4 linked regions of the Struthio camelus genome follow. The protein of the gene in region 3 purifies or fractionates together with the protein of the main gene of each other region. This does not show direct contact. Links are inferred from orthologs where the notes say so. Each region holds a gene or a part of one and is shown on either strand. Other genes may lie near its edges.

Region 1 (7,552 bases), on a different chromosome or scaffold from region 3:
TAGGGGGTTCGGAGCCCCGCCCACCGGCCGCACTCCCTGAGCCCCGCCCCTCACCTGGTCCCCCGCCCCTAGGGGTTCAGAGCCCCGCCCACCGCTCCCCCCCCACCGGCGGCATCCCCCTAAGCCCCGCCCTAGGGAGGCAGAGGTCCGCCCCTCACCTGGTGCCCCGCCCCCTGGGCTCGGAGCCCCGCCCCCAGTTGGAGCCCCGCCCCCCGGGGGCCGGTGCCCGCTTCCCCGTGCGCTGGGGGGAGTGCGCTTGGGCCATGGGGCTCCTCTGGGTGGGAGAAGAGGCAATTTAATTTGCTACAGAAGCTGAAAAGCGTATAGGGAATGGAGCAGGCAAGACTCTTATTTGGGCTCATCCAAGGGGAAATGGTGCTTGACCAATCCGACAGCCTTCTCTGATGGCATGACTGGCTGGGTAGATGAGGGCAGAGCAGTGGAGTTGTCTCTCTTGACTTCTGTAAGGCTTTCGACACCATCTCCCATCACATCGTCATAGGGAAACTCAGGAAGTGTGGGTTGGATGGGTGGCCAGTGAGGTGGATGGAGAACTGGCTGGATGGCAGGGCTCCGAGGGTTGTGATCTGCAGTGCAGAGTCTAGTTGGAAGCGTGAATCTAACGGTGTCTCCCAGGGGTCCATACCGGGTCCAGTCTCGTTCAATGTATTCATCAGTGGCCTGGATGAAGGCAGAGAGTGCACCCTCAGCAAGTTTGCTGATAACACTAAACTGGGGGGAGTGGCTGATACCCCAGAGGGCTGTGCTGCCATTCCGAGGGACCTGGACAGGCTGGAGAGTTGGGCGGAAAGGAACCTCCTGGAGTTCAACAAAGGCAAATGCGGAGTCCTGCACCTAGGGAGGAATAATCCTATGCACACCAGTACAGGCTGGGGGTTGAGCTGCTGGAAAGCAGCTCTGCAGAGAAGGAGCTGGGCGTGCTGGTGGACAAGTTGACCATGAGCCAGCAATGTGGCCAAGAAGGCCAATGGTCTCCTGGGGTGCATGAGGCAGAGTGTTGCCAGCAGGCGGAGGGAGGTGATCCTGCCCCTCTCCTCAGCCCTGGGGAGGCCACATCTAGAGTACTGTGTCCAGATCTGGGCTCCCCAGTACAAGAGAGACATGGTACTCCTGGAGAGAGTCCAGTGGAGGGCTACGAAGATGATGAGGGGACTGGAGCATCTCTCCTAGGAAGAAAGGCTGCGAGAGCTGGGCCTGTCCAGGCTGGAGAAGAGAAGATTGAGAGGGGATCTCATCAACGTGTACAAGTATGTGAAGGGAGGGTGTCAAGAGGATGGGGCCAGACTCGTCAATGGTGCCCAGGGTGAGGGGCAACAAATAGGACAGGTACAAACAATCACAGGAAGTTCCATCTGAACATGAGGACAAACTTCTTCACTGTGAGGGTGACAGAGCTTTGGAACAGGTTGCCCAGAGAGGTGGTGGAGTCTCCTTTGCTGGAGATATTCAAAGCCTGCCTGGACGCGATCCTGGGCAACGTGCTCTAGAGGACTCTGCTTGAGCAGGGGGGTGGGACAAGATGATCTCCAGAGGTCCCTTCCAGCCTCAACCTTTCTGTGATTCTGTGATTGGTGGATGGGATGCCTTCAGCCACCAAGGGTCTAGCAGGAACATGTACTAAACGTTCCTGAGTGTCAGCTGAAATAAATGGGAGCTGTACTTTGAACACATGGTGTGCTGCAGGATACTGAATGCTCTGAAAAAAGTCTCTCCTTAATGTTTTAGTGAGACATCTAAAATTAAGGGGTGTTTTTGACCTTAATCTTTCCTTGATTAGTATCACTCCTTCGTCTGATAGAGGGGTTCTGAAAACAAATTCATATTTACAAACTGTGGAGGTAACGGACATAAAAGAGTCCATAAGGAAATGAGTGACACCACCATCAGAGCGTGATCTGTGTATCTCAAAGTAAATAATGCCTCAGGCAACAGGAGGAACAAGGGATGTGAAACTAAATACTGAATACCTGGTCAGGATCCATTCCCATTACTGAACGAGATGGCAGTCCCATGGCAAGAGCAGCATGGGAGAGACTGGACTGTAACTCCTGGGCAAAAAAAAGGGGGTGAGTTAAGGGCACAGAAGCAACTCCAGAGTGTGGGATTCTGAGCTTTTAACTTGGAAGCTTGGCGTTCTTCCAGTGTGTCCCTGAAAAAAGCAGTGGTCGATCAGCAAATTAATTCGTATGGTTAGCGCCCCCAGCTTGGTTTATGCATCTCTTTTACTATCTGGAAGAAAATAGGGACTTGCTGCCCTATGCCTGATGTTCCCATTGCTCTGCTGTAGTTGCTCCAGCAGGCTTCCGAGCAGAACAAAAAGCTTCCCTTCCCAGCCTAGCTTCTCAGAGCTTTGAAAAGCCTCGTTCAGCAGTGGTTCTCCTAATCCGCTGACGTCTGCTTCGTTTGCACAACAGCGTTGAGTAGCTTTGGTTGCTGGCGACCTGAGATCGCTTCTGCAACCTTCTGCCTGAGGAAATCCTGCATTTTCCAAGTGCCGGATAACTTATGGACAAGGATGGACAGCCTTCACCCCTGTGGCTGGGAGCGGTCACTGCTGCGGAGGGTATCAGCGTCGCTGCTGTTAAGCCGCTGACAGACAGTTTTGCTGCGTTTCCTAGAGATGGAGGGGTCAAAGGAACGCCGATCAGCGGAAAAACCTTTTTGGAGTTTCTGGGTGACAGAGCCGGTGTCCTCATTTTTTTTAAACCAAAATTTAAATACAATTTTTTTTTTTTCAGATCACTGAGCATTTTGTCCCTTTCCGCACAAAATGCAACCTGTTATTTTCTATCCGTCCTCACACAGCCTCTGCGAACTCTGGGAAGGGGAAAGGGGTTGCAGGGCTACCAGAAAGTTACCATATCATGGGCAAGGGAGGATGCGGGGAACTATTTTCCCCCCAGAGAAGCCGCTCTACTCTCAAAATATATGTCCGATGTATGACTTCAGAGGTGGCTGACCTGTCCTTAGGGGGATGGGTTAGCAAAACAGTTCTCTAGAATTGAGGAGGATTCCCCGAAAAGCTGAGTTTGACACAGATTACATGTTTCTGTTACAGGAGTACTAGGATTACTCAAGATGCTGCTGCTGCAGCAAAGCCCAATCACTTGATTCTTCGTTCTGAGCTCGCAGTTAAACTTTAAATCACTATTCAGAATCAATAGGGCTCAAAGCTTACCTTAGTATTAATAGGGCCCAAAGCTTATCTTTTATAAATGAAATCTGAAATTTTATTTTTATGATCTTGATGTTCAAGTTGGGAAATAATGGCTTCAGGTTTGAGGGAGCCAATTATTTAGATAAAGAAATGAAAATGAGTAACATGGACATTCTTCAGACCTGGTGTAGGGATTATTTCAGTTTTATCTTTACGTAGATTAACAGACTTTTGGCTTTTATAATTTGATATTCCAGGAACTGATTGATTTCAGCTTGCATAAATTTATCTAAATTGATTCAGAAAGCAAACAGGCCTAACCTTAGAGTATAGAAAAAGGAGAGAAGAACTTTTTTGTAGCTCTTTGTCATGTATGAGGTAACAATTATAAAGGTGTCTTTTGCAAACTGTGCGTTTTAGGAGGAAACGTTTTCAGCATCTGAAGGATTGCAGAACAGCTGTATTTTATGAAGGAAAAAGGTTAACCTGCCTGATGCCCTGATTGTTCAGTTACACAGTATCTCTTCACATCTTTGTTGTTATTAGATAGCACTAATGAAGTATTTAGTTTATGAGCTTTGTCTTTAGCAATTAGTAATTTGTAACCTGAATTCAGTGCTTTGAAGGTGATGGGAAGGAACTGCTTTTATTAGATTAATTTCCAGAGAGAGTTTTGATTATTGGCTGACAAACGTGTCTGTATATTTTTAACAAGATAAAGCATTTCTTAAACAAAGCATTCCTATTTTAATCTTAACAGAAGAAAAACACACACTTTTTGGTATTCTAGATGAAAAAGAAAACCCCGTGAGAATTTGTCAAATAATAATTACAAGTATGTTCTAAAACAGCTTCAGGGTCAGTTTTCAAACAAATTATTTGCAGGTGCATTTTGGCACCGGTAAAACAGATCAAATAAATTATTCCTCTTTTTCGTCATTAGGCTAAATACTTTATTCCTAACTCCAGTATCCAATGACTAGCCTTAGTACGTGTGAATCTTTCTCGTTGCTGACTGCAAGCTGGACGTTTTAGATTTATGCGTGTCAGCTGGTAAATCAGGCAGGGGTATCGCACTTCTTAGATTCCCGTCTCTAGTTGTGCTAAAACGTGACTGCGCTCATGTGGCTTGATTTAGATGTGAGCCACTACTGGCTTATTACAATCGTTTGGAGTGTTGCTCTCCTCAGTTACAATATCTCTCGCCTCGTGCACAATATCTTCTGATAAGCATATGACTGCTGCTTTGAAATTGAGTATAACGTCCACAGATTTAAAAGCTACCGCCTGCCCGAGGAGTTCGAGACAGACAGACAGGCAAGGGAGTCGGCATGTTGCTATGTTTGCCTTTGCACTGGCACTTACCTTGCGGTGAGCCAGTTCAGGGAGGTCAGTCAGCAGAGTATGACTTCTTTATGGGGGGGGAGGGGGAGAAGAAAAAAGTGAGCTATTTTCTACTGTTTTATCTGTCTGGGCTGGCTCACCCCTGGGATCAGGTGAGCACTGTTGTGAGTGCAGAGGAGAGCACGGGAATGGAAAAACTAGAGCAAGGCTGGCTTAGGTTGGTTTAAATGGCTGGGGAACACCATCCCAGCTGCCTGTAGCCAGTTTTACTTCTTTTTTCTTCTCCCCACTGTCACACAGATGCTCATATAGATAATAATAAGGAACTGGTAGAAGTTCCAGTTAAGCAGTCTGGTCCGCTTTCAGGACCAGGCTCTGAATTTGCAGGGCAGACTCTGGAAAGGACTGGTCGCGAAGTCTTAAAAGCACTGCAGGAGTGGGTCTGTGTGTGTGCCTGGAGCCCACCAAAGCCGGTTCTTCTCTATACTTCTTTCAGAGTTCAGTCTATGCAGTGTTCGCTGCAGGATCCCTGCCTAAGTGTTGTCACATGCACAAAGTGCTCGAGCAGATGAAATGCTCAGCTTGGGTCACCTTTTCTTCCAGAACTAGTTTCAGTCTTGCCATCTTCTCCATCCTGTGTCTAACCTCATCATCCTCTCCATTCACGTACTGCTGCTGTCTTACCTGTCCCCATCTGGAGCACAGCAACTGGTTCCCGTCTGCTGCCTCCCATTTCTTTTCCCCATCCTGATACATGTCACCACTTTTGGTTCCACCACTTGTTTTTCATTCCCCGTTTCCCTTGGTAAGAAATTAAGGTTAAGCATTTCTCTTGCTTACCGGAGTAAAGAAAACTTTCCAGGAGCAGAGAGAGACGAAAGGGTAAGGAGGAAACAAAGGCTAGCTGGAATTTTCTTAGGGCTTTTCAAACCCTTTTGGGGGCTTACCGGTCAGTTTGAGAACTGCTGATTGATTCTGCACATTTCATTCTTAACGAACATTTTAGGTAAAGGTTATTTTTTTTAATTAAGTGCCTTGCTTGATTTCAAGAGCTTGGCATAAGCACGCTAGGGACTTTTATCAGACTTCTAGCAACATCTTACCAGGTTTTTTTTAGGAGTAAGATATAAGCAGAAAGAAGCAGAATAAGGCAAAATTGTTTCTGATTTGCCACAAAATTCTCTTCAAGCGGAAGAGAAGTTTTGGAGAGATTCGTTCAATTTCCATAAAGATTTAGGGCAGAGTTACTGATACATAGCACTTCTTTGCTCAGTAGCTTTACCACGTCGTAAGTGCACCCATCTGAAGTGAGTACAAACCAAGTATTAGCTTATCAGCCTCAGATGTCAGCTACTGTAGTTTTAGATTCAGACAACAAAGTGGCTGTGGCTGAAGGCAGCGGAGAACTGAAGATTTGCAAAGGTAATATGATTAACAGCGCTGCCAGAGGGGTTGGAGCCCAGGTGGAGATTAGTCGTATTCAATATCAAGCAGGCTGTGATGAACCCTGTCTCTTGTATTTTCAGAGGCTGCACAGAGGAGTTCTCAGAGACCTTGAGCGACTGAGTCAGAAAGAGCAAAATATTCGCCTTTTAGAAGAGCAGATCGCTTTGACGAAGCAGCTCAAAGAAGAAAGAGACAAGACGCTAATGGAGAAAGGGTCCCAGCAGTCCTAGGCACGGTCCTGACCCCTGAGAGTGTGGACTGAAGGCAGTTGGCCAGGTTTGCTATCTGACAGCCCACAAGTAAGCGGAGGTAATCTGTGAAAGACCATTTCTTTCACATACATTCTAATACAATTCAAAAAACTATAGCGCCTCTATCTTCAGCACTTTCACGAGCGGAGACTTGACTGGCACATGCAGTGGGGATGGTCTTGTGAATGTGAGGAGGAAGGGCTCCTTGTAAAGTAAGCACCATCTTCCTTTATGTGATAAAGGATGGCTAATAATGTTCACATGAGCGGGCTGCTGAGTCGCCATGATGATGAAGCGACAAGGACGTCGACCTCCGAAGGCCTGGAGGAGGGTGAGGTGGAAGGGGAGACGCTCCTGATTGTCGAGTCTGAGGATCAAGCCTCCGTGGATTTATCGCATGATCAGAGCGGAGACTCTCTGAACAGTGACGAAGGTGATGCATCTTGGATGGAGGAGATGTCCTATTATTGTGAGAAGTGTCAGAAGTGGATACCAGCAAGTAAGGATGCTGTTTTTATTATTTCTTGTAGCGCTTCCCATTTCCAGTTTGCTTTATTACGGTTGCTATGTTCCCCCAAAATACAGTGTGTGGGTCTCGCCTGGTCTCATGAGGCATGAGGCAAGGTGGTCATGCTGTCCATTTTAAAGAATAGCTCTATTTAGCCTTATTCTGTCATTGGGAAGAAATGCTGTTTTGGCATCACATGGAGCCCAGTAGCCGAAAGCCATTTGTTGTGTTTGTGTGCATCAGGCGCTTACACCCATGAACCCCATATGGGTATCCAAAACTGGCATTCCCCAGTAAAAAAAATGGGACTGTTGGATCTGCTAAACAGAAAGCAAGGGCAGGACTTCGGAAATGCGAGCACGCATTCAAGTTCTGTTGTCAGTGTGTTAGGGGACTTTAGCCAAGTGACTTTGCATGTCGCTCAGCAGAGAGGTAAAGGCAGTGACTGTTTCTATAAAGGTCTATGGGTGAAAAGGGTTCTGTAGGTGGTGGTCTTTTTGTCTTTCTTTTTCTTTATTTTTCCTGGCTAGTTTGTCACATCTGTGGAACATAAGACTAACTCTCAACCTTAATGATTTCCTAAGAACGTGAATTTAATGTAGGTTTCACAGAGGCGTGTTAGGCCTGTAGCAGCTAGCTTTCGGAGGCGTTTGAAGCAGGTTGGATCACTTGATCTCTCCGCTCCTGCTATTTGACATAAGATACATGCTGTTAGCTGAGAAATAGAAGAGATGTTACTTTCCAAAATCTAAATGATTGAATCTACTATTATATCTAAAACCTACGTATTGCTACCTGCTGTTTGTTGGTGGCTAGAAGTAGTGA
Region 2 (7,792 bases), on a different chromosome or scaffold from region 3:
CATACTTACGGAATTCTTGTATTGAAAACTGGAGATCTTCCACGAGAAGAAGAACTCAATATGGAAGAATCACCTCAGCAAGAAGTTCACTTTGGGAAGGACAGCTCTCCAAGAGCCCTGAGACTTGGCCTGCTACCTATTAAGATCTTCTGAGGAGTTGCTTCAGAAGCAGGATAAAAATCTGTCTGCAGTCACTTGGATTCAACACCACAGAGGGTGGCAACTTCTGGCAGACAGGCAGGGCAGACAGCTGGGAGCGCTAACGCTGTTTTGCCATAGCTAGCTCCAACAGGGCTCTGCCGTCAGCGCCCTTAATTGACCTTAACCTGGCAGACAAGACCTGCCCAGCAGCATATTCAAACTGAAGTTCAGTCTCCTCAGACTCGCCCAGCTGTACACTGTCCTCCAGAACACCACCTGTGAAACCATTATCTGTCCCTCTCCAACTGGCAGCTCCAACACCCTGCTCTATTCCTGGATCTTGCTCAGATCCTGCAGCAGGCTCCATTTTTCTCATCTCCCTTTTCTTCAGCTCCTCCCCTCACGATTCTCTCCCACTGGCTGTGCTATGCCAAATATCACTCAGCCCACTCCCTGTCCCAGGGGCAAGAGACTCTAGTCTCACTTGCCCAGAGAAGATTCGAACCTGACCTAGGCACACAGCCAACAGGATGGTTCCCAAAGCACTTCTGACAGTGGCAAATGCATACCTGCTCATCCAGCCACAGCTTCTTTGTCCATCTTTCCTTCAGTCAGGTAGCTACTCCTCCTCCTTTGCACCCTTAAAAGCCCCATCCTTCTCGCTAACTTATCCCTTCTACATTACTTCGTTTCATTTTATCTGCTTTCTCTTGCAATTGTTTGTCTTGCTTTTTCCTAGAGCCAGCCTAGCCCCAGGGTCAGGGGGTTCTCTTCTCCCAAACTGTACTGCTACCAGCTGCTGCATCCCTCAAACGTAAGCTAACTGCCAGTCTTTCTACGGGCAGGTTTCAACTGCAAAATAAATGCAGAGGTAGGAGCATAACCCAGCACAGAAAACAGCTGGGAAGATACAGCTGCAAATACTTCAGCAAGCAACAAGAACCAAAGTACACGGTCAGGCACTCCCAGATGGCTTGTGCTCTAGTTGCTATCATGCGCTGAAGTCTGCGACCACATGCTTTACTGCTGTCATTACTGAAGCTCAGTTCAGCTAGCAGGTATGAATGGCTCCACCTATGACAATCACACCGTCATTTTGCTATACAGAGATATCGCTAGCTTCCTTGCCCTTTGTCCTTTTAGCTCCCGTCCAAGTCCTTTTCTGAACTGTTTGTAGAAAAATGCACAGAATCTGCTGAATCCGTGGCACTTCTAATTCCACACATGACAGTATCGCAACTCAGACGGTTCCTACCTGACTGTTCAGCTGCTTTGTGACGCTTATTGGGATGTGTGACTGCGATCTCCTCATAGTCGGGGTCCTTCTCCGCGATCACTCTCTTGATCCCAGACATGTTCTCTCAACTACTGCACCGAGAGGAAAAATAAAAGCAGTGACATTACCCACAGCAACTCTCCGGACAGAGTTCAAACTTTCTCCTGAAATGACAGGAGTCACAGCGAGAAGGCCTGCCTTGGACCTCGGGAACACCTCCTGGAACACCTCCTTCCCCAGCTGCTAGAGATCCATCCACAGCTGCAAAGCTCAGAGCTAGTCCCGCTATGTACAGTCCACAAGTTTACACTGCCTCCCGATCTTTGGTCTCCATAGCCCACCACAACCTGTGTGGGGAAAGGTATTGCGAAGATGGAGCGGCAAGGCAGAAAAATGAAGTGACCTTCACTGTCGCTGAACAGCCGCTCTGCAAACACACCTCGCCCCTCTCCTGGCAGGCACGTTTCTTTATGCAAGGTTAGCACGTACGACCGGAGAAGACCGCCAAGGCAGGTGTTGGTATTAGCAACTTCTCTTCCAATTTAGCCACCGTCCATTGACGCAAAAGTCACAACAGCCTGTTCCCCATCCTCAGCGATGCCTGCACGCGGATCTTAAGAGGATGTCCAGACTTGCTTGGCTCACCAATTTCAGTACATCGGGGGTGTTTTCTCAGGGGCGGCACCATCACCTCCAGCACGCAGCGCTTGGTCAGAGTCAGCGCGCTGACGGCCCGAACGAGCCGGGACGCGCACACACAGCGACACAAACACACCACGCTACCCGGGACAGGCGGGGGGCTCGCCGGCGAAGCTGCGCCAGCACACGGGTCACGTACAAGCGTGACCTCCCAGCTAGACCGCGGGGGAACCGCGCGGGACAACGTCCCCACGCCCGGCCGAGCCCCCTCTCCCCGACAGCTGCCCCGGCCCGGGGGGGGGGGGGAGGAGGGGGGAGGAGGGGGGTCGCCCACCCGCGCTCACGCGTCCCGCCGGCCACCGACACGCCTCGGCAAGGGGTGGCCCACGCAAGACGCCTCGCACGCCAACCGCCCCGCGCCGGGCCGGGGCGCGGGCGCAGCCGACGGCGGCCGCCGCCGCAGGGCGGACTCGGGAGGCCGCGGCCCACGACGCCCTCCTCACCTCCGCGGCGGCTCGCTGCTCCCGCCGCCGGGGCGCACGGCCAACCCCGGCCCGAGCCTCCGCAGGCGCTCGCGGCTCCCCCCAGGGCACCCTCCCTTCAGGCCGGGCGCTCGGCGCGGCCGCGGCTCCGGGGCGGCCGTTAGGGCCGTTGGCCGGGGCGCGGCAGTACGCGCGCGCGCCCGCTGCCCACGTGCGCGGCCGGCATTGTTCCCCTCCCCCCACGCCCAACCCGCCCGGCGCGCACGCGCGCGCGCACAAAGCGCCGCCGCCGCCGCCGCCCCGCGCGCTCCTCCCCCCCTCCCCCCCGCCCTCCCGCCGCCGCCGCCGCCGCTCACCCGCGCTCCGCTGAGGCGGCCGCCGCCGCCCCGCTCCCCGCCGCGCGCCGCTCAGCGCCCGCCGCCAGCCGCCGCCATGAGCGCAGGCCCCGGCCCTCGCTGCCCGTCAGCGCGAGGGGCGGGAGCCGCGCAGGCGGAGAGCGGCGGCGGGGCGGGGCGAGGCGCAGAGAAAGGGGGCGGAAAGGCTCCGCCGTCCTGCTCCCCCTGAGGCGCCGGAGGTACTGGCGCGGCCCCGCTATATTGGCCAGTAAGCAGTACAACTGGGGGAAGGCAGATTTTGACACAAAAGTAGGAACTGAAAGGCGCGTGGTTAGGAGAAGAAAAGAAAATAATAATAATAAAAGCACGCCAAGTGAGGCCCGGCGTGACTGAGAGCCCCGGGTAGTAAAAGCGCGCAAGAGAGGCGCAGCGGCGCTGCACGGCTTTGCCCCGAGGCGGCTGCCTGCCGGCGGCCCCCGAGGGGCTCGCTGCGCCCCCGCTCCCAAACGTCCTACCTTTACAGCTCATGGTGTTTCACAGCGTGTCAAATCACAGCTACAGTTGCCCCACTAAACTAATGGATTTAATGTCACTTTTTTTTTTTCTTAACCAGATCCTAACACCGCTGTCAGATGTCCTGAACAACAAGCAGCCCTTCGCTCCGCCGCCGTAGTCTCATGCTAAACTCATGCTGCTAAAGAGCATGAGATAACGGCCAACTCTTACATGTATTTTCTAACTTCTTATGAGGCCGCAAATTGTAAACAAGTGTATGCGTGCTCAATGTGCAGGGAGCCAACCTTAAAATCCCCCTTTTCTGGTTTCAGGACCACTGCTAGAAAGGCTTTCTGTCAGGCAACAAATACAATCCATTGAGATAGTTCTTGTACCCAAATTTGTATCATTTTCATCAGGAATATAATTTAGTTTTTTATTTATTTTCTTCCTTTTCTCTGCTTAATGGAGAGAGGAACAGAAATAGGTCCATTTTTAACATTTTAAGTATATTCAGACAGGATCCCATTCCTCAGTGTATTTCCATTGCATCGTAGTCTGAATTTCCTTTCATGTGAGATTACTTCTTTCAGGAACAGTAACATTGCACTCGGTCATAACTTATTCTTGGCACCACAGTAACAGCCCCTTGATTGCGGTCAATGATCCAGTTACATTGCCAAACTGCAGTCCAACTGTTGGCGTTAGTTTTATGTTTCATGTTATAAGGTATCTGAAAAATCTTTACATGCCTCAATGGTACATTTAGATTCGCTCATCTCTGTGGGGCTAGGTTCAAAACTCTTGAAGCTAGTGGAAGTACTTCAATTTTCTGCAGTTCAAGGCTTTAGCAGGCCCCTCTCTGCCAGTAGACAGATGAAGCAGTATCTTCATGTCGATTAAGTTGTATTAAAATGTGCCTGCCACCATTTCTAAAAAGTTATTTGTATTTTTTTTTTCCTCTACATCTCTCTGATACAGAGTATATCGAATATCAAGGCCCCAGGGCTTTGGTTTTATGTTGAAAGATACAGGACCCACAATCCAAAATACATCAAACAAGGAAAGGACTCACGAGTTAGACCTCAGTGGAACACAGGGAAAAAATCACAGTAGGAAGCTCTGTTTGACTCTGCCACAATGCCAAAAACAAAGGGTTTTAGGAAGAAGGCAAGACACACATCTAGGGTTACGTGAAGGACAAGCTCTGAGTTTGAAATCCACACTGTCCTATGAGGAAGAGGATGCCAGGAGTACAAGCTAGTATTCCACTAGAAAACAACTGAAAGATGAATGTGATCTGTAAAACTGTGGTATTGAATGAAATACAGTCATGTCAGTTCAAGTGCAAGAGAACCACCCTCTCCCTGTCCGAGCCCTGTATCGGCCGTTCTACAAGTGGCACCTCGAGATGGTCAAGGGAGAGCTAATCTGGGAAGAGTAAACTTCCTGCATGTCTCTTTCCAACCTATAGTGTTACTGGTCACCTTCCTACCATTATCCATTCCCTTATCCTGATTTCGCTTATTGCTTTTGCCCTCTGAGTCCGTTTGTATCCTTTCCAGATCCTGATTCCCAGAACTAAGCACTATTTTACATCCCATCTTGTCATTTCCCCCAGTTTCCTTGCTCTTTCCTTTTTCGCACAGCCTCTAGCTTGCCTGCACTACCTGTATTCATGTCAATAGTAAGTTACATGACAAAGGCATAAAGATGAGCTATGAAAGCATCCAGACTGGAAGACAGAAGAATGATGGGTTGATACAGACACTGCAAAGGTGCAGAATCCAGCAAATAAAAGACCTAGGAAGAACAGGAAAGAGCTTCCTCCTTGTACGACCAAACCCCTCCGTGGCATTTCTCATGACCTAAATAAAACACAGTAAACTATTCAAAAGGCAAATGTTTATTAGGTACATTGGATTTAAAAAAAAAAATCTTTCAAAGAATTATGCAAGAAATATATTTAAATATAACAAGTAAATGTTATTGCTTTTGTGCTACATTACAAAATCACTTTTCTACTGTCAGCACAATCTGAAGACCTTAATGTTACGTGTCAGATAGCATTGCATTGAGTCTGGCACACACTAAGTGGTCCGCAGTTTTTTGTTCAGCTTCGTTTGTGCTGTACCAGATTGCTCTTGAAGACAAGATTAAGCTCTTGTTCGAACCAAACCTTTTACGTTTCAGTAAATAAAGGAACTGGCAAGGAATACAATGAACCGCTGTTTTCCTTAGCAAAAAGAAAAATCAAAACATATTCCAGGTGAAAGGAAAGTATCATATGAATAATAGTTAAGTAGGTAACCTCTCTTTCCATGGCCAAGTAGTTCCTATTAATCTGACTCCAAATTGCTACAGGTGCACCGAAAGGAGAATGGCCCCACAGGTCCAGCATTTACACAAATGAAATTAATAATAATACATTTTATTCAAGTCTCTTGATTTTGCATATTGCCGTGCTACACCATATTATTGCTTCATCTTATTTATTTTAAACTCTACTGAGGACAGGCAAGTCAGAGCGTTCTGAAATGTGGTAGAGGCTATTGACTAAAACAAGAAACTACGTATGAAGGACAGGAAGTCAAAGACAAACTCCTTTGTCACTGAGGGAGTGCAGGAAATAGAAAACAGGAAAAAAAAATACTGATTTCTCCACAGTAAATCTGCCATAACATTGTAAAAAATCGAAGCATTGTAGGCATATTCTCAATAAAAGGTTTAACTGTTCTTTTAGTTAACGAATGGCAAGATTTACTTCTCTTAAAAGGACATCAGCAGTCTAGACAGTAAGACTGATCCTAATAAAGATAAACCAGAAGGAGCAATCCAAGCTCATTTTCACAATAGATAAAAATTATAAGTGAATTCAAGGCACAGGTATTTTCAACATTAACACATTATTTTCTTTGGAACTAATAATACAAAGTAAGTTGTAATTACATTATCAACATGCTGTACATAGGGACTTTTATGTGTATCATTTATAATAGAATTAGCATAAAATGATCACAAAGTTATTCACATGCACAGATGCGCAAACATGAGTGTAGATTGGAGCACTACAGTAGAAAAAAGGTTATGTAAATAGAGCTTTTGGATAATAACACTATCAAGGATATATACTTTGAGTCACTAATTTTATACATAAATGCATGTTATGAAAGACAGCTGATGCGAGGCCAGTGTGCCGAGAACTTATGTTCTGATTCACACAGCTGGTGTGGGGTGGGTAAGAGGCTGCCTACTGTTTTGTGGTAATGCTCACAGCACTGACACTGAGACGGATTTTTATCAATGCCACCTGAAATAAAACATTAAGGAAGCTTGTTTGCTGGACACATTTAAAAAAAAAAAAAAACTTTACTGTCTAGTCCTCAACCAGATAACAAACTTCTGCTTAAAAATCTCATCAACCTCATCACCTTGTGGACTTCCTTTTCAGTGTGTATTACTCAGATTTTTTAGTCCGGCACACCATTTAATGCACACTGTCCTGTGCGCGTGAGAGTCCACATTCAGAGGAAAACATCTTGCTTCAGAGTGATCAAGTCTAGTGAGGTTCTTAATCCTCTGGAATGGGCTTTTGCCATCTTCAGTGGCAGAGAAAACGAGATACATTCGTCCAGTCGGGCAATTACGAAAACTGAGCGTTTGCTTTTCCTGAGCATTGCCACTAGAAAACTTTGACAACATATGCTTCTTTATCTCTCAGACTGAAAGTAGCGAGTTGACAAACGTGAAATATTTTTTACCTATTGAGTTCCCTGTGACTGGAACTGCAAACTGTAGGAGCAACCAGACAGTCCTGTATTTCAGCAAGCCTAGCAAAATGCACAAACCCAAAAGCGCTGGGTTTCCCCTTGCCGTTTCTCCCACTTGCCCCGAGTTCCCCTCTGGCCTACCAGCTGCATGCAACAGAGCTCCAGCACATCACCATGCCTCGCGCAAGGGGAAACCTGAAATCCCGAGATGTGGGACTGCTGCTTGTCTTGTCCTTGCAACTCAAAAACAAAAATAGGGTAAACTGAGTAACCGTCTAAGTTAACATGGTGAACTCAACTATTTTACGGAAAAAGCCCTAGCAGTCAGCTGCGTTCTTGCTCTCAAGCACAGGTGACCAACAAGCACAGGTTTGAACGAAGCTTTCTGGACTCAGGGTGCTAGACGGGAAAGCTCAGTGCTTCACCCCTGAAACGCATGCCAGGCACGCAGGGAAAATTAACTGTCTGATGGTACAAATGGAAGAGATTCCACAAATTATGCCTCTTCAGGCGCTAACAGAAAAGGAACTTAGAGATAGAGTGAACGATTACCAGGTAATGTTATATGCTTGATGGCCGAGACATAGAGGGATACGTGGAATATATAAAAGCAGAAGGCCAGAGGCTGCACTATAATGCAGTACTCCGTTATCT
Region 3 (7,394 bases):
AACACTCTCTTTCTAAAGAGGCTTTCAAATGTGAAAGATTTAACTTTTAACAACAAAATTTCATTAACAATGAGAAATAGAACAGACTGAGTACTTTCAGAAAGATGAAAGAAACCCTTTCTCATTTTGCTTATGTTAGCATGATAGTAAAAGAGCAGGAAAAAAAAGTCTCTCCACCTTGTGTCAACCAGATAACTCCACTGCGCAGAGGCCAATATACTTGCAGTACCCAGAATGGTCTGGAAGAACAAGAAACAAAATATTTCATCTGTCTCTTGGAAAGAGTGGGAGAGCTTTCATTCTGTATGAGACTACGGATGTCTGACTATGGAATCTGTCTACACAAATGTGGTAGAAACACTGACAAATATCTGAGCAGTCATGTGCTGCTCAGCTGTAGAATAGAGGCCCATGCAAGGATACATTCCCAAATCTTCAGAAATAAAGATCTAGTTATTTGTGCATATTAAATGTGTGATAGCACTGAGCTCAAAAATCTATATGCTATTTCTCATTTTCCAGAAATGAGAAGTGAGACAAAATGTACAACTGAACTTCATCACTACATATATTGGACTAAACAACTTCCAGTCACACAAACGTGCAATAGTATTTCAATTTAAGGTCATAACTACTTCTCCTTATTGACATACACAGTTGCACTGCATAACAGTAAAGCTTTGTGAAGGACTGCAATATCAGGCCAGAAAATGTTTTTATGAAATAAGCACGACAGTGTTGCATAAAGCCTGCAAACAAAGTTGTTCAGGTCCTGAATGACTTACTAGAAGTCACATACAAGGCAAAATATTAACCCCTTCTAACACCCTTCTAAGGAAATGGAAGCTTCATGACTGACTTTAACTGAGTCAAAATTTCACTTTTTTTTTTTTAATTAGATCTTATTAACACTAACATTTTACTTGCGTACTCTTTATAACAACTGCATCTTTTTCCCCCTACACATCACTTTTTTTTCCTGAAATTAACTTTTTCCCTTTTGATTAACTTGAGTAGCAAATGCTAATATTATTAACCTGAAAGACAGTGCAGTAAGATTAAAAAAAAACTGAAAACAAACTGCAACAGTAGCTTGTCAGCTTATTTTCTGAAAAGTTAAACTTGCTTACGAGAAGGACCAGACTTTGCTAACCCTGAATCTCCATACCCCTTCTGGATCACCACTCCTTGCAGCTGCTAGACAGGGGGGGAAAAAAAAGTATAATTTCTAACAGCAGGTTAGAAATATACCCAGAAAGCATGCTCTCAAAGGTTGCACAAGTTAGTATTTAATGTGAACTATAGAATACACTTAGAGCTTCACCTTGAAAACCTCAATAAATGATGACTAAAGTTATTAGAGCAGTAATAATGCTAGTACCAATAGAAGACGTGTACATCCACCACAGAACTACTACATTGCATTTAATAATGATTGGGAACATATTCCAGAAAGATATGCCAGAAATTCAAAGCCTAAAGAACATGTTCTTCTATATAAGTTTTAGTATCAGTTATGCAGCAGTCTAAAACCGGATTAGTAAGTGAAGAGTTATATTCCAAGATTATGAGACCTGTCAGTGTTCCTGGATAATCAGGCAGGGAATACACAACACCATAAGGAAGAAGCAGAACCATATGCTCTCCCTTTGAGAGATCAGGACTAGAAGACAAAGGGGATATTGCAGAGTTGGGATGCTTGGATACTACTGCGGTGATTTGTCCCATATAGAACAGAAAACAGAAATGTATTTTATAAGTTGAGGATATAGCAGGACATACATCATAGTCGCAGAGAGCAGGTGTGTGGCGTTAAAGATCTCCCACTCTGGATTCCTGTACCCTTAAATATCAGAGTTGCCTACAGGGCAGGAGCAGTTAGGGTTCAAGAGCAGAAGCCTTGGGAACAAGCAGAGAACAGAAGCAATAGCAGGGGACAGGTCTGAAAAGCGAGCAGAGACAGCAATAGCACCGTGAAGTGTTCGCGGGGGGCCCGGGCCCGGGCACGGCCCGCGGCTGCGCGAGGCGCCCCGGGCGTCGGCGCAGGCTGGAGGCGCCAGAGCCGCGCTGGAGCGGGGCCAGACGGCCCCGTGACGGGGTGACCCCGACACGGCGGACGGGGCGGCGCAGCAAGGGCTCCGCGACGGCGGAGCGGCGGCGCGGCCGGGCCGAGGCGCTGCAGCCTGCGAGGCGCGAGGTGAGGTGAGGTGAGGCGGGGCAGGGCCGGGGCGGCGGGAGGGAGGGGCGGGAGCGGAGCCAGTTGCGCTTCCCCGGGGCGGCCAACCCCGCCCCGCTCCCCGTGTGGCCCGGGGCACGATGGCGGGGAGGAGGCTGGTCCCAGGGTCCCCGCCCCCCGGGCCCCCGTTACCATTACCCAGCACGCCCAGCGCCGCACCGCCATCCCGCAGCCGGCCAGCTCCCACAGGAACCGCGCGCCCTCGCGAGACTTCCGCCCGCCTTCCCGCCCCTCCGCGCGCGCCCGCCCCGCCCCTCCCCTCCCGCCCGCCCGCACTGGCTCAGGCTCAACATGGCGGCCGCGGCGCCGCGCACGTGTCCCGGCCCCACCGTGTCACGCCGCGCGCGCGCCCCCGCGGGCGGGCGGACACACACACACACACACACACACACACACACACACACACGTAACGCTCAGGGCGGAGCCGCTGCGCAGGCGCACGCGCACAGGGCGCCGCTCCGGGCCAGCTGATTCGAACGGGCCGCGCGAGCCACCACCTCCTCCCAGCACGCGCGGGTCACGTGGGGGCTTCCCCCCCTCTCATTCCCTCCTCCTCCTCCTTCCCCCTCCCCTCGCGGGTTCCGAACTCGGCACCATCCGGGTCCCCCTTCCCCCCGGGGCCCGGGCCCGGGCCGGGGCCGAGCCCTCACCTGGCGCCCGCTCCTCGGCGCGGCCGGCCCGCGCAGCCCCGTCCGCGGCGCGCTCCCTCCGTGCTGCCCGCACCAGGCGGCGGCGGCGGCGGCGGCGGCTCCGCACAGCGCCTGCTCCCCTCAGCGCGGCGGCGGCTCCTTCCGCTTCCTTCCCCTCCCCCTCCAGCCCGCTGCGGCGGGGACCCGCTCCCTGCAGCTCCGCCTGCTGGCAGAGGGCGGAGGCGGCCGCCCCGGCCTGCCCGCCGCCCCCGGCGCTGGACGGCGCCGCGGCGGGTCGAGCCGCCGCCTCGCGGGCAGGTGCCTGGCGCAGCGCCCGGCGGCGGCGGCGGCGGGGACGGAGCTGCTCGTGCCCGGCCTGCGGGCGGCGGCGCTGGCGCTGTCCGCGGCGGCAGCAGCCGCCCAGCGCGGGAGACGTGCGGGGAGGCGGACGGGGGAGCCCGGCTGGCGGCGGCGAGCCGGCCCCAACGCCGCTGGCCGGCACCCGGAGGCGGGGGAAGCCCCGTGGCCGGCGCACCGCCGCCGCCCCGCTCCCCCGCCGGCGGGTTTCGCTCGGGGCTGCCGCCCGCTTCCCCGTGCTCCGGCATGGGCGGTGTGAGCGCTGCCTCAGGAGCGGGCAGCGTGGGACGCGCCAGCCCTCCACGGCACGACTAACGAAAATAAAGCAGCGTGACTTCAAATCTCTATTTTAGGTAGCCTCCTAGTTCTCTGCAAACATGCACGTCATCTCCGCAAGTTGCCATTTAATGCACAGTTTGCTCAAAGAGATTTCATTTACCTCTGCCCTCCTACAGAGGGAGAGGAACTACTATGCATCTCTTACTATGCTAGTAAGCTAGCATTGTTTTTTCCTGCTATATCACAGTTACAAGGCAGCTGGAAAAGGAGGAGGTAGCCAAGAAACACACACAACTCGGGTTTTCTATAGAATTTCTAGGGAATTCAAAACTTTCCCATTTAAGAAACATTAACTTTGCAAATTGTCGAAAAATCCTAACATGGACACTCTCTTTAACAAAAGACTAGTTAAAGCATTTTACATCAATTTCTTTAAAGTGGTTATTCCCTATTTGTAAGTATACAAGTCAGTTTAGTTACAATAGAGTAACAAGAGCAGTTTTAATAAAATCGTAACTGTGGAAATTGCTGGTTATACACACTTTCATTCTGCTCTCCTAGACTGTGTCCTTTGCCTAAATCCTCAGCAGCATTTCAATTTTCCCAAGCATTTCTCACTTTTCCCTCCTTCTTGCTGACTTGGAACTCTTCTCCTGTGATCAGATTCAAAACAACAGAAATCCCACAAGAGAGGGAAGGAAAATTTTTCCTTGAATCTGTGCCACTGTTCTCATGCAGCGTTCTGTCCGTGTGCCCAAGTCTGAAAGAGTAATGGAGCTTCTTGTATTATTGCAGCAGCACCTGTAAGCACTAAAAAAATTTGTGAATTTCAATTAATTTAGAAATCTGTTCACTTAGCAAACAGCTGCAGTTGTTTCAGATGTTACTGCATTTCAGCCAAGCGTTAGTGCTTTCGCAGTAGAACTGAGGGTTTTTCTCAGCTGCTTCGGTACAACATCCATTGGTTTTGTTCAGACAAATTCCCATGGCGGTCTAAGGGTGCAGTCGAGCAACGCAGCTGAGCTGTACTGGCCACCACTCACTCCCCCTACTCCCAGCCATGGAGTCCCACAACTTCCCCTCTGCCTGTTCCTGCGCTCATCTGAACATGTGGTAAGCCAGTTGGACTTCCTAAACCACTAAGAAACTGTTCCCATTCATGGCGGATTGGTTCTCAGCTAGAAAATAAGCTGTGTTGGCTCACGACCCAGTCAGGCAAGGGAGCCAGCATGTGAAAAGCGGAGGAGAAGGTGGCGCCAGTAGAGGGGAGGAGTAGGACTACCTTCTTTTGGCAGCAGCACCGTTTTGGCAGCTGGAATGAAACCAGTCCAACCATATTGTCTAACCACACCCTAGACCAGGATTTGCCTTTAATTCACTCAGTTCTTAAATATTATGTTCTGCCATCTTGCTTAAGAAGTACAATGTCTAGTGAGGGGATGACAGAGCAACAAAGAGCAACTGTTGACCGTGTGCTGTTTCAGGTAGTGCTTCCTGCTAATGAAAGGGACACTCTCAACACTCTTGCCCCACCTCTACATGCCCCCCTGCTTCCCCTGGACTGAATCCAGCAGTCATGCATCCACAGTCATTTATCCACAGGGTAGCAGAAGCAGCTGTCCATGCATAGAAATGACTGAGATTAAGCAGGATTACTATGAGACCTCCACCCAAGGGATTTTACATTTAAACCTTGTGAAACTTGCTCTGTTTGAAGCTGGTCGGACATGGCTCTTCCACTCTGCTGTCTCCATAGTTCAAATCTTCCTCAACCCCTCAGTATCCTGCAGTCCCTTCCGCACAGTATCCTGCAGTAGCTTCTGAATAATTCCTAATTACACCTTCTGCCTAGCAGCACCATGTTTTCCCTAACACTTTCAGTCTCCATTGCTCCTCACGTACCCTACCCAAACTATACCATATTCCTGACTCCGATGGCAGCCCGTTTCTATGCTACACCTCCCACCTTGTTGTAAACAATTGGTAGACACGTTTATTAAGGGCAACCTCAAGTAATTTACTGGGCAATAACCATTTTTCTAGCTTCATCGCTGTTGGCAGCAAAGAACTATTCCTATCCAGGGAAAATGGACTCAATGACAGCCTTTCATCATGTTATAATGGGACAGGATAAAAACAAATAACAAATCAACACCTCCCTCCATCACTACTTGCCACAAAATCATGAGCTGACAGATGTTTTATACCCCTCCACTTTGCTAAAACAAACTCCTAGCCCGTGTTTGCACATAGAGAACTGCCTAAGACCACAAGGCCCAGCTTCAATGAAGCTCTGTTACAAGGCTTTTGCTCTCAGTCGTAGCGTCCTTGTTTATAGCTATTTCAATCCATGGAATAGCTTAATTGCTCCTCCTGCTTAGTCTGAAGTAGCACTTTACCAGAGCAAGTCAAACGTGTGATTTTTTTTTTTCCCCTGGTAAGACTGAAAAAAAAAAAAAACTCTTCATGGATTGAACACAATTGAAAAGTCGATCCTAAGGACATCCAGGTTAGCTCCTAGCTCTTAATAAAGCTATCCCAGATAGCTTTGCCCAGCAGGACAAGGAAAAGTATAGCCGAATTCTCCTCCAGAATTCAGCTCAGGCTTATTTGTTCTGACTCAAGGCCAGCTGTACTGGACTGGCTGTTTTGTGCAGTGGCTGCACAGAAGTGCTGGAAGAGAGCAGAGAGACGACTCCTGAAGCCAGCTGCGGTTCAGTAGGTTCAACTTCCACAGGAATACCCAAAGCTAATAAACCATCCTGGACTGAACTTGGCTCAGCACAACACCCAGAAATCTCTGCACTAATTAATTTACCATCTTAAGAAATTGTTTGTGGATAGTTTTTAGGTTTTTTTTGATTTTGTATTTATAGTATGTCGGGGGGTTGGGGGGGGGGGGAGTTAAATTCTTAAGAAAATTCCCCACAAGACAGTTACAGAAAATAGCTTCAAGTTATAAAAGGGAAATTTTAGTTAAGATAACTTTTTAAACAGTATTACAGAAAAAGACTATTTTTCCTTAACTATGCATCCTTATGTGGAATCACCCCTTGTTTTCTTTGTTACAAGTCCTCTGTTTTGCTACCCATTTCTGCCTGCTGCATTCCCTGGAAAGTCCTAAACATTTTCTTTCATTGGTGCTACCAGATGTAAAGAACAAACCCAAGAAAGGCTAGATTTCTGTTAATTTCAACACCACCACATTTTCCAATGTTTTCACCTAAAGCAAAATGCCTTAAAGTTGTGGCTACGGTTGCTAATTCACAGCAATTGCACAGGCTTTTTGCCAGAACTTTGAGTTTACAGTATTATCAATTCAGTAATCTATTATTAAGAACATGTATTTTGTTACTGTTTCCATTATTTCAAATAATACTTGGACAGAGCCTTTATAGTAGTTATGCAAATCACCATGTCACAAATCAGTAAAAAGCAAATTACTAAAATAGCGATTGAAAAAAAATGTAATCATGGTAAATTACACATTCAGGATTATGAACTGACATCTGGTCTACTGTCTGCTAAAAATCCATACCAGCCATAAATTCAGAACACCTGGTTTTATGGCTGTTTTGTGGGAACAATTTAAACTAGAGTTTAAAAAAACGTGAGAAAGAGGAAAATAGCTTTAACTGTTAAATAGAACAGTCTCCAATCACTGATATATTACAGTATGCATACATTAGACAATTTAGGAGTCTTAAAACCCACACGGCCTATTCACCTTAAGTAATTAAAATGTTCTATAATATGTCATCCAAAAGCAAGCTGCCAATTACAAAAGTGAACCAGATTTAGGAAGCTATTAATTTATTTCCATTTTGTGCCTGTATACTTAAAGTTGGGGTCATCTAATTCAAATAGATGTAAAAATAAAAAGCTGCAGTTAA
Region 4 (7,948 bases), on a different chromosome or scaffold from region 3:
AAGATCTCTCTCCTTCAGCTGTTCAAGCTAAATTCTTAGCCTTCAACACCTTCTTTGTCATTTCCCTGTCCTTGAGCAAATATGTGCTTTGATACAAGTTTACAGAGACCAATTATTAATGTGTTTATGTAACAGCTTGGTATGAGACAGGCCTTTGATGACTTTCTTAAAGAAATGAATGTCTTCACTTTTATCCTTGCACTCACCTGCAAACACAGGAGGAAGGGAGGAGGCCCACACTCAGCACACTTGACGTAGGGCTCTGTGAGGTAGGAAGAGCAGCCTCGGCACGGAGGCTTATCAAAAGGGTCATCTGTGAAGCCAACAAGTAAATCTCATGCAACACAAACATGACACTGTTTTTGCTATCATTCAAATATCCAATAATTTTAATAATTTAAAGTGAAGTCAGCTGTATATAACCTCTTTCCTACTGGAGCTTCTCCAAATAGCCGTTGAAAGTTCCTTGTTCAGCTGAAGCTTCCAGAGAGATCCTGGCACTTCCTCTCTGCTAGACCTAAAACTTTGAGGGCTAAATAGCCTACTCTTGTGCAATGGAGTCAAAGGAAAGCCCTCTCTGGAGCAGCCTATCAGTATTTCTCAGCAGTGATGCAATGAGCTGTGCTAGCTGGTTGATTTGATCCAGTGCCCATGGTCATGTCTTGCACTGAAGATGAGTCCCAAGGACCTTACTTATGGAGAAGATTGCACAGACAGCTGTAGTTTCCCATCCATCTACCTCAAGTCTGACCTGAACAGCTTATTGTTGTGGTTGCAAAGGCATGCATTCTACTGTTCTGTAACCCATCCAATCCTCAGACACTGTTCAAATTGCTGAACAAGGAATCAAACACTGTTCTACAAGTTTTTCTTATTTTGTTCATTACAAAGTAGTCAAATTAAACAGGCTGTCAATTAGTAAAAGCCGTAACTAGTCCCACTATATAACAAGGAGGCAAAAAAGATCCAAATTCCCACCAAATAATTCATATACCAGTTGTGCTTTTGAGAATTCGATTAAAGTAGTGACCCTGTGGACCAAATATTGCTACTTTTCCGTCTCCCTCCCCCAGCTTACTGCTGATGTCTTTAAAAAATGGCAAACCCTTTCCAAATCTCAGCTTATGGTACTTACTGCTGAAGGAGGCCAGGCGCTCCATTCCTCTCCCTCCCTCTCCTCTTCCTCCCGATATTCTTGCTCCTCTGAGTAACACCTGTCCTGCTATAAAAGACTGTAGCGTAAGCTTCGCCCCAACCAGTATGTTCAACTTTCCACCTGAAGGGTATTTTCCACTTGAAGGAAAGGAGTCTCACACAGTCCTGATAGAGGAGATCCTCTCAGAATGTGCCGAGCAGGAAAGCAAAAGAGCTGTGGACAGTCACTGTAACAGGGACCACTTGATGTGTTTTCTGCAGGTGAGAGAAGAAATCAAACGCAGACAGGTAAGATTCATAGTATGAAGAGATCTGAAGAGATGGGGATATAACTTAAGGTGAATATGCCCCAGTAAAGACAGTGGCTGAAGTGACTGTAGCATCAGAAATCTTCAAATGTGGTATAGTAGCGATCCCCGCAACTGCTGCTGTGAGGGAAGTGCAGTAGCGACAACTAACGAAGAAAGAAGGAATAAGGTTTACACAAGGTCAGGGAGCGAACAAGTGGCAGAGACGGGATTTGGTTAATCCTGATTTTTGCTCTAAACCCCAAATGACAAGCCTGAACAAAATTCCCAGTGGGAAGCTGGACAGCAATCCCAATTTGTTTCCCACTAGCAAGGTACAATTTTTGTGAGAACCAGCAGCGTCTTACCTGAACCTAATTTTACCTGGACTAGTTTTCCCTCCAAGAGACTTTAATTACATAAATGACACATTAAATGCTTCATGGAATTTACTGATACCAAAAAGTCAAAGCAAAAAAGCCCATCCCAAAACAGCAACACTACAAAGTACTGCTGGTGAAATCCTAAATGGAAGCTTTCATCCGGAAACGCATGTGGTGAGCGGTTATGGACGTCTGTTATGCAAGAAAGAGCCCTGCACCTCCAAGAAGCACCAGGAAGAGAAGGAGCAGGCTGTCGGTGGCAGGGCACACAGTGACGCAGGAACCTAGCACACTGACATCCAGTACGCTTTCGGTGTTGGTTGTGTGGCAGCTCTACGAACAGCCGTTATTCACCAGTATCTGTACAGCGAGGTCCTACAGTGCTGCCCATCACCAAGGACTTGGGTTGTTTTCCACTACGGGATCTCCGGTGCATCTCACTCTTACGAGGTGCCTTAGCTGGGAAAGGCTCTGACTTTTCGCACACTGAAATTTGTGTTTATCTTTCTAGACCTTCTTCCTCCGTTGCGCCACACGGCGAAGCACGGTCCAGCGTCCCGGGACAGGCCCGCAGCTGCGCAGCCCCTCCGATCCCTGCACCTCTGCCCGCCTCCTCGGAGGACCGGGAGCAACTTCGGGGCCGGACGTCTCACCCCGCGGCCGTGAGGGACTCGCCGCGGCCCCCTCCGGACGGTCCCTCGCAGCCCGGCGTGCGCGGGGCGCCGCAGGTGGGGACGCGGCCCCGGGGGCCTCGACTGCCCACGTCGCATCGCTCCATGTCCTGCACCCCCTGCCCCACGCGCGGCCTGGCCCTGGCGGACGCGTCTCCCCGCCGCCGCCGCCGCCGCCGCCGCCGCCGCCAGGGGGCGCCCCGCCCGGCCAGGCCCCGCCCCCTCCGGCCAGGCCCCGCCCCGGCCCCGCCCCAACGCGGGCCGTGACGGGAGAGGCGAGCGCGCTCCCCTCCCCCCGCCGCGCGCGCCCCTCCCCGCCCCCGGCCCGGCCCGGCCCCTCCCGGCTCTGGGCACGGTCCCCCCCTCGCCCCTCGCCCCTCCCGGGCCGGGGCGGCGCTCGGGCCGCGCCCCGCCGCCTCTCACCTCAGGCCGGGCGGCGGGCAGGCCCCGCGCGCCGCGGCTCGCCGTGCCCGGCCCCGTTCCTGCCGGCGTGCGCGCGCGCGGGCGGGCGGTTGCGTGCGCGGGCGGGCGGTTGCGTGCGCGCTCCCGCGCCGCCGGCGGGGCCTGCTGGGTGGTGTGAGAGTGTCTGTGTCCCGGCTGTGCGTGTACCTGTACGTACAGCCAGTAGGGTGTGTCTGTCTGTCTCTGCGGGTGTGTTGTACAGCCGGCAGGGTCTCTGCGTGTGTGGTGTGTGTGTGTGCACAGCCCAGGGTGTGTGGTGTCCGGGTAGGTGCCTACAGCCTGGTGTGTGTGTATGTAGCTGTATACAGCCTCGGGGTGTGTGTGTGTGTGTGTACATAGGTACCTACAGCCTCGCGAGGGTGTGTGTTGTGTGTGCTGTGTGTTTATGTACAGACATACAGCCTAGGGGGGCGTGTATATATATGTACAGACAGCCTATAGGGTGTGCACCTGTTTGTAGCCTATGGGGGGTGTGTAGGTTTAGGTGTTCGCCTCAGCTTGGGGTGTGTGTGTGTGTGTAGGTGTAGGTGTACACCTCAGTTTGGAGGGGTGTAGGTGTGCGCCTCAACTTGGTGTGTGTGTGGGTGTAGGTGTATGCCTCAGCTTGAGGGGGTGTGTGTGTAGGTGTATGCCTCAGCTTGGAGGGTGTGTGTGTAGGTGTTCGCCTCAGCTTGGAGGGGGGGGGTGTAGGTGTAGGTGTACGCCTCAGCTTGGAGGGGATGTGTGAGTACCCACGCGCCGTGGGGGGTGCGAGCCCCACAGCCTGTGGGGAGCGTGTGTCCCTGCCAAAGGGGACCACGCTGTTACAAGCTAAAAGACAGTATTGGCACAGTAACAAATATCGTTCAACCAGGAGTAAGTTTAGGCTGGAAATTAAAAGGGGCTCCTAGCCTTATAGCAGTTTGTGGGTTTTGAGTGCGAGCGTTACTTCATCTGTACCTTCCAGCTAGGGCTTCTTCATGTGACCAGCAGCAGGGCTAAGAAGATGAGATGTGCTAGCAATTCGAATTCCCTGCTGTGGGAAAAGACAAGGCAGCGGCGGCCTTGGAGGTTGGCATTACTTGGCCCCCACGAGTCAGAGCTTGCACATGCTGGAAGAAAATTGCCTTGCCTGATCAAGGCCACATGCCAAGAAGAGTGACAAGAACGCTCCAAGTGCAGAAGAGGGACGGGACTGCCATGCATGTGACTGGAAGAGGGAGAAAAAAAGTGACTTAACTTCATTAGAAGTTTGAAGCAAGATACTGTCCCTCCAGGTTTGCAAGGCCCCCGTGTCTCATGCAAGTATATGTCAAATAAGTCTTGTAGCAGTAAAATAGTAAGGAATTAATAGTTTCTCATGTAGCAGTAATTATTTTCCTAGCAGTGATGGGGTGATTGTTAGCAACTGGCTGCAACCCCACCATCTTCTTCTGCAGGTCTTCCCCCGGCAGCTGTTTGCCCTTTGTGTCAGACTTGGCCTGGATTATGTGGCTCATGAGCTAGAACTGGGAGGAGTTACAGAGGGTAGCGCGGTGAAGGAAGATGTGAGCATGAACGAGGGAAAAACTTTAGAGAAGAGTAAGAAAGATCATAACAGGTAGACAGAAGAGAGGGTGGCCTGCGGCAGCAGCATAGGCAGTGGTGGCAGTCAGCGTCCAGGGACCAGGAGGAGAAGAATGGAGCATCTTGTTCATCTTCCCTGCCTGGGACGCTCCCCAGCAGTGATCTTTTGAAGCTGCTGCTTTTCACAAGTAACTTAGAAGCTGTAGGTGATGTGTAATGTGTCTCCATCTCCTGTCAGCTCATGAACTTGCACAAACGTCTGTGTATGTCTAAATCATTTATACAGAAAGGGATCTTTCGTCCTTCCCCTGTCTGTTTGCAGGCTAGTGCCTGTGAGGTCTTTTGTGGCTGTCCCCCATGTACACTTTGAATGTCTTTGTGAACTAGGTGCACTTGTGGGCTTGTTGAGGACATCCTGACAGAGGGCTTTGGATAGGGCTTAGCTCGCCAAGTCTTGCGTTGCGTGAAACCCTAAAGCTCAGGAATGAGTTAGCTAGTGGCATTGTTTAAAGAGCCATTTGTTTTTGCATGAGACAGTCTGGATAGCCAATCTGGCACAGTGGTAATACACATCTCGTGATAGCTCTCATGACCTCTACAGTAGCCTCATATGCTGTACTGTGTTCTTGAGGGGACGTAGTACTCCTTCTGAGCCTGGTGTAATTGTAATAGTAATGCTGATAATTAAAATGTTCTTTAGCACAAATATTAGGTAGATTCTGCGTATGTTTATGATGCCCTGGTTCTGGCAAATGTTACTGGTATTTCATGAATTTCCAATACTTGTTTGTACTTAGGCCCTGTTCTGCAATAAACTCTACCTGTCTGGAATGCCCCGCATGGGCAGTGCTCCACTCAGTGATACTGTATGTGGTGCTAATCCCCTCTTCTGAAAAGAACCACTGTCATTACTGTTCCAGTGCACCCTTTTTTTATGCTGTTGTGCAATTTTAATTTTGTGTGAATTTTTTCTGGTGCCGCCTCAGAGAACACATGACGTTGATTCAGATGAGCAGGATCTAGATCACTTGGGGGGGAAATGCTGTATTGTTCACTGGGAGCCTTGAAGGCTGCTCGTACTCGTTTATGCAGATTCTGAAGCATTTAATCCTTTGCCTGGGAACTTCAGATGAGAGCTGTTCTCCAGAGCAGACAGATGTAGCCTTTGGCAGTTGTATCTGAGAGCTGAAGACGGCATTAGAGATAAATACATTGCAAATAGATCAGACGTTCATTTTGTATCAGCACCTGAAAATGTGCACCTATTCAGATCTAGACAAGGGCTAAAGCTCAAAGATTAATATTTGTATTATCTCAAAGAGTAATATCTGCGTTATTCCTGTTGATGCTGGAGTAGGAGATCTGGTATTCTATATACTTCTTGTCTGAACTGTTTAACAGTCTGTTTAAGACGAGAGTAACATGTTGGAAATTATTTCCTTTCCCTTTTGCCCAGGCCCTAGACGCGTGTGAAAAAATCATGAGGAAAAAACTAAAAAATTGGGGAGGCAGAATTTGAAATGTCACTGGAATTTTTATTGCTTTCACCAACAGGTATTTCCTAATTCTAGGAGCTAAAATATGATTCCAGGTACTTGATGGAAGAAATCAACATATGGCTATCTTCACAGCAGTTGCCTTCTAAGTGAATTAACCTGATTGCTCCTAGCCAGGTAAACATTTCTTCCAACATAAGTCTCGTTCCAGTCTGCAATGGCTTGACTCGTGGTGGTGTAAACTGCTGTTGTTCGCTCTGCTGTGTCCAGGAGGGGGTCAGGAGAAAGCTGATGTACCTCCCCTGATGAAAAGAGTGTGCCTCTGAGGCCGGCAGCTTTTCACAGGTAGGTCTCATGAATGACAATGATTTTGAATCTTTCCTTGTAAGGCTCTTGGCCTGATGCTTCCTTCTGGCAAAGGAAGAAAAATACTCATCAGGAGTAATAAACAACCCTATTCCTAGAGTGTTATACCAGTGCTTGTGTGTTGTTGTTTCCCATATCAGTAATTTAGTGGTGCGACATCTCCTGGCTGAACTGAACTACAGAAGTTACAGTAAGCCTGATGTCTCCTGGAGGTGGCAATGAGATAAAAAACCTTTTGCCTGAAGTCTGTTCTGATGGCTTTCAGCTTGGAGGAGGCCCAGAGGTGTTACCACCTGATGGCTGTTCAATGGCCTGTGTGAAATGGCTCTTAAGGGTCTCAGTCCAATTTCCAAACCTCTCACTACAACACATTTCTCACAGTGCAGTTTCACTCCAAGAAGATCTAAGTGGATAATCTGTAATGAATAATGTATTCACATTTTATTTTTTTCTTCTCAGAAGTTTTAACAAATGAGGTGATTTTCATTTGCTATTTGAAATTATTTACCGATCATTTCTGCAAATTAAATGTTCTCAAGTGGTTTGTTCTGTATGTTTAATATTCAGAAGGCTTCTTGTGTGTTGACAGAGCTAAGCTCTCTAGTCTCGCAAGGTGATTGCTAGACCAGGGTGACAGACAAGTAAATGGATATGTTGAACTTAAGTAACTTGATCCCAATTCACTGTGAGAGGTGGGAGTAGGGTACAGCCTTGGAAGGTCACTTAATGGGGTAGGAAGCACAAGATTAAATCATTTCTTCATGAAAAGGCACCTTAATAATGCATTTCCAGGACCATGGTGATACTTAATTTTTTGAGGGGGAGGGATAGGTCTATCTTTGAACACAGTAATTGTTGCTTAAATGCACCTAAAACCAGGTTACCTCATGAAGACAGAACAAATGAACCCAAACTAGCCTCATAAGTCCTCCCCATGCTGATAGTCCCAGCTTCCCTGCTTCCCTCCTGTACCACTGGTTCCCTCCTGCCTCCGCTCAGGACCGCTGGTGCGATGGCACGTGCTGCGTATGCTGTTTGGCCAGCAGGTATGTGAGGCTTGTTGGCTGACTACCGAATGGCCAGCCAGCATGGGGACTGCTGAGCCCATACAGCTTCCCCCGGGAGAGATTTGGCTCCCTCTTCACTACCCCATCACTGATTTTCGCTCGGGAACTTGCTTGTCCTTGGGGCCCATTATCCTTTGGTCAAATTTGGTTGAAGGTGACCAGTAGGTGCCCGGGGAAGGGAGGCTGAGACTCAAACAAGACGTTGCAATGCCTTCTGTCCTATATCCTGAAGAAACTGGATTACAAATGTTTCTGTTTGGTGACGCACCCTGAGGGAGGCTGCAGGCAGGTTGGTTCTGCTGCTCTGCGCACCGACGTGTGTCTTGATCCAGCCATGGCATGAGCACTTGGGAAAGAAGCAAAAGCAGTTAGCTGTGCATGAGGGTGGTGAAGAAAACCAACTGCTGAAAACTAGTAACAGGCTATTTTTTTCTGGAAGGGCCATGATCGATACTTGTACATGTTTAGGCATCACAGTAATGTAGCTTTACACAGTGAATCACCGTAGCTCAGTCT

The links.
Region 1: the proteins of ZZZ3 (region 3) and KAT14 purify together in Homo sapiens (affinity purification with mass spectrometry; 4 studies listed by BioGRID and IntAct, with this or other methods). This does not show direct contact. The link is inferred for Struthio camelus from reciprocal best matches to the Homo sapiens genes ZZZ3 and KAT14.
Region 2: the proteins of ZZZ3 (region 3) and YEATS2 purify together in Homo sapiens (affinity purification with mass spectrometry; 3 studies listed by BioGRID, with this or other methods). This does not show direct contact. The link is inferred for Struthio camelus from reciprocal best matches to the Homo sapiens genes ZZZ3 and YEATS2.
Region 4: the proteins of ZZZ3 (region 3) and TADA2A purify together in Homo sapiens (affinity purification with mass spectrometry; 4 studies listed by BioGRID and IntAct, with this or other methods). This does not show direct contact. The link is inferred for Struthio camelus from reciprocal best matches to the Homo sapiens genes ZZZ3 and TADA2A.

What each region holds. Positions count from the first base shown.
Region 1 is NC_090944.1:146,949,626-146,957,177, reverse strand, and holds the start of KAT14 (cysteine-rich protein 2-binding protein), read left to right. Parts: upstream 1-4,546; 5' UTR 4,547-5,944; intron 5,945-6,048; 5' UTR 6,049-6,462; coding exon 6,463-6,718; intron 6,719-7,552. UniProt on the Homo sapiens protein: Component of the ATAC complex, a complex with histone acetyltransferase activity on histones H3 and H4. May function as a scaffold for the ATAC complex to promote ATAC complex stability. Has also weak histone acetyltransferase activity toward histone H4.
Region 2 is NC_090950.1:7,909,417-7,917,208, reverse strand, and holds the start of YEATS2 (YEATS domain-containing protein 2), read right to left. Parts: upstream 3,012-7,792; 5' UTR 2,895-3,011; intron 2,718-2,894; exon of another isoform or gene 2,560-2,717; intron 1,510-2,559; 5' UTR 1,497-1,509; coding exon 1,397-1,496; intron 1-1,396. UniProt on the Homo sapiens protein: Chromatin reader component of the ATAC complex, a complex with histone acetyltransferase activity on histones H3 and H4. YEATS2 specifically recognizes and binds histone H3 crotonylated at 'Lys-27' (H3K27cr).
Region 3 is NC_090949.1:24,624,694-24,632,087, reverse strand, and holds the start of ZZZ3 (ZZ-type zinc finger-containing protein 3), read right to left. Parts: upstream 3,014-7,394; 5' UTR 2,887-3,013; intron 2,449-2,886; exon of another isoform or gene 2,375-2,448; intron 1,863-2,374; exon of another isoform or gene 1,783-1,862; intron 459-1,782; exon of another isoform or gene 178-458; intron 1-177.
Region 4 is NC_090957.1:20,323,307-20,331,254, reverse strand, and holds the start of TADA2A (transcriptional adapter 2-alpha), read right to left. Parts: upstream 3,017-7,948; 5' UTR 2,920-3,016; intron 1,411-2,919; 5' UTR 1,161-1,410; coding exon 1,136-1,160; intron 314-1,135; coding exon 207-313; intron 1-206. Other genes in the region: C16H17orf78 (uncharacterized protein C17orf78 homolog), read right to left, coding at 6,339-6,410, 7,701-7,778. UniProt on the Homo sapiens protein: Component of the ATAC complex, a complex with histone acetyltransferase activity on histones H3 and H4. Required for the function of some acidic activation domains, which activate transcription from a distant site. Binds double-stranded DNA.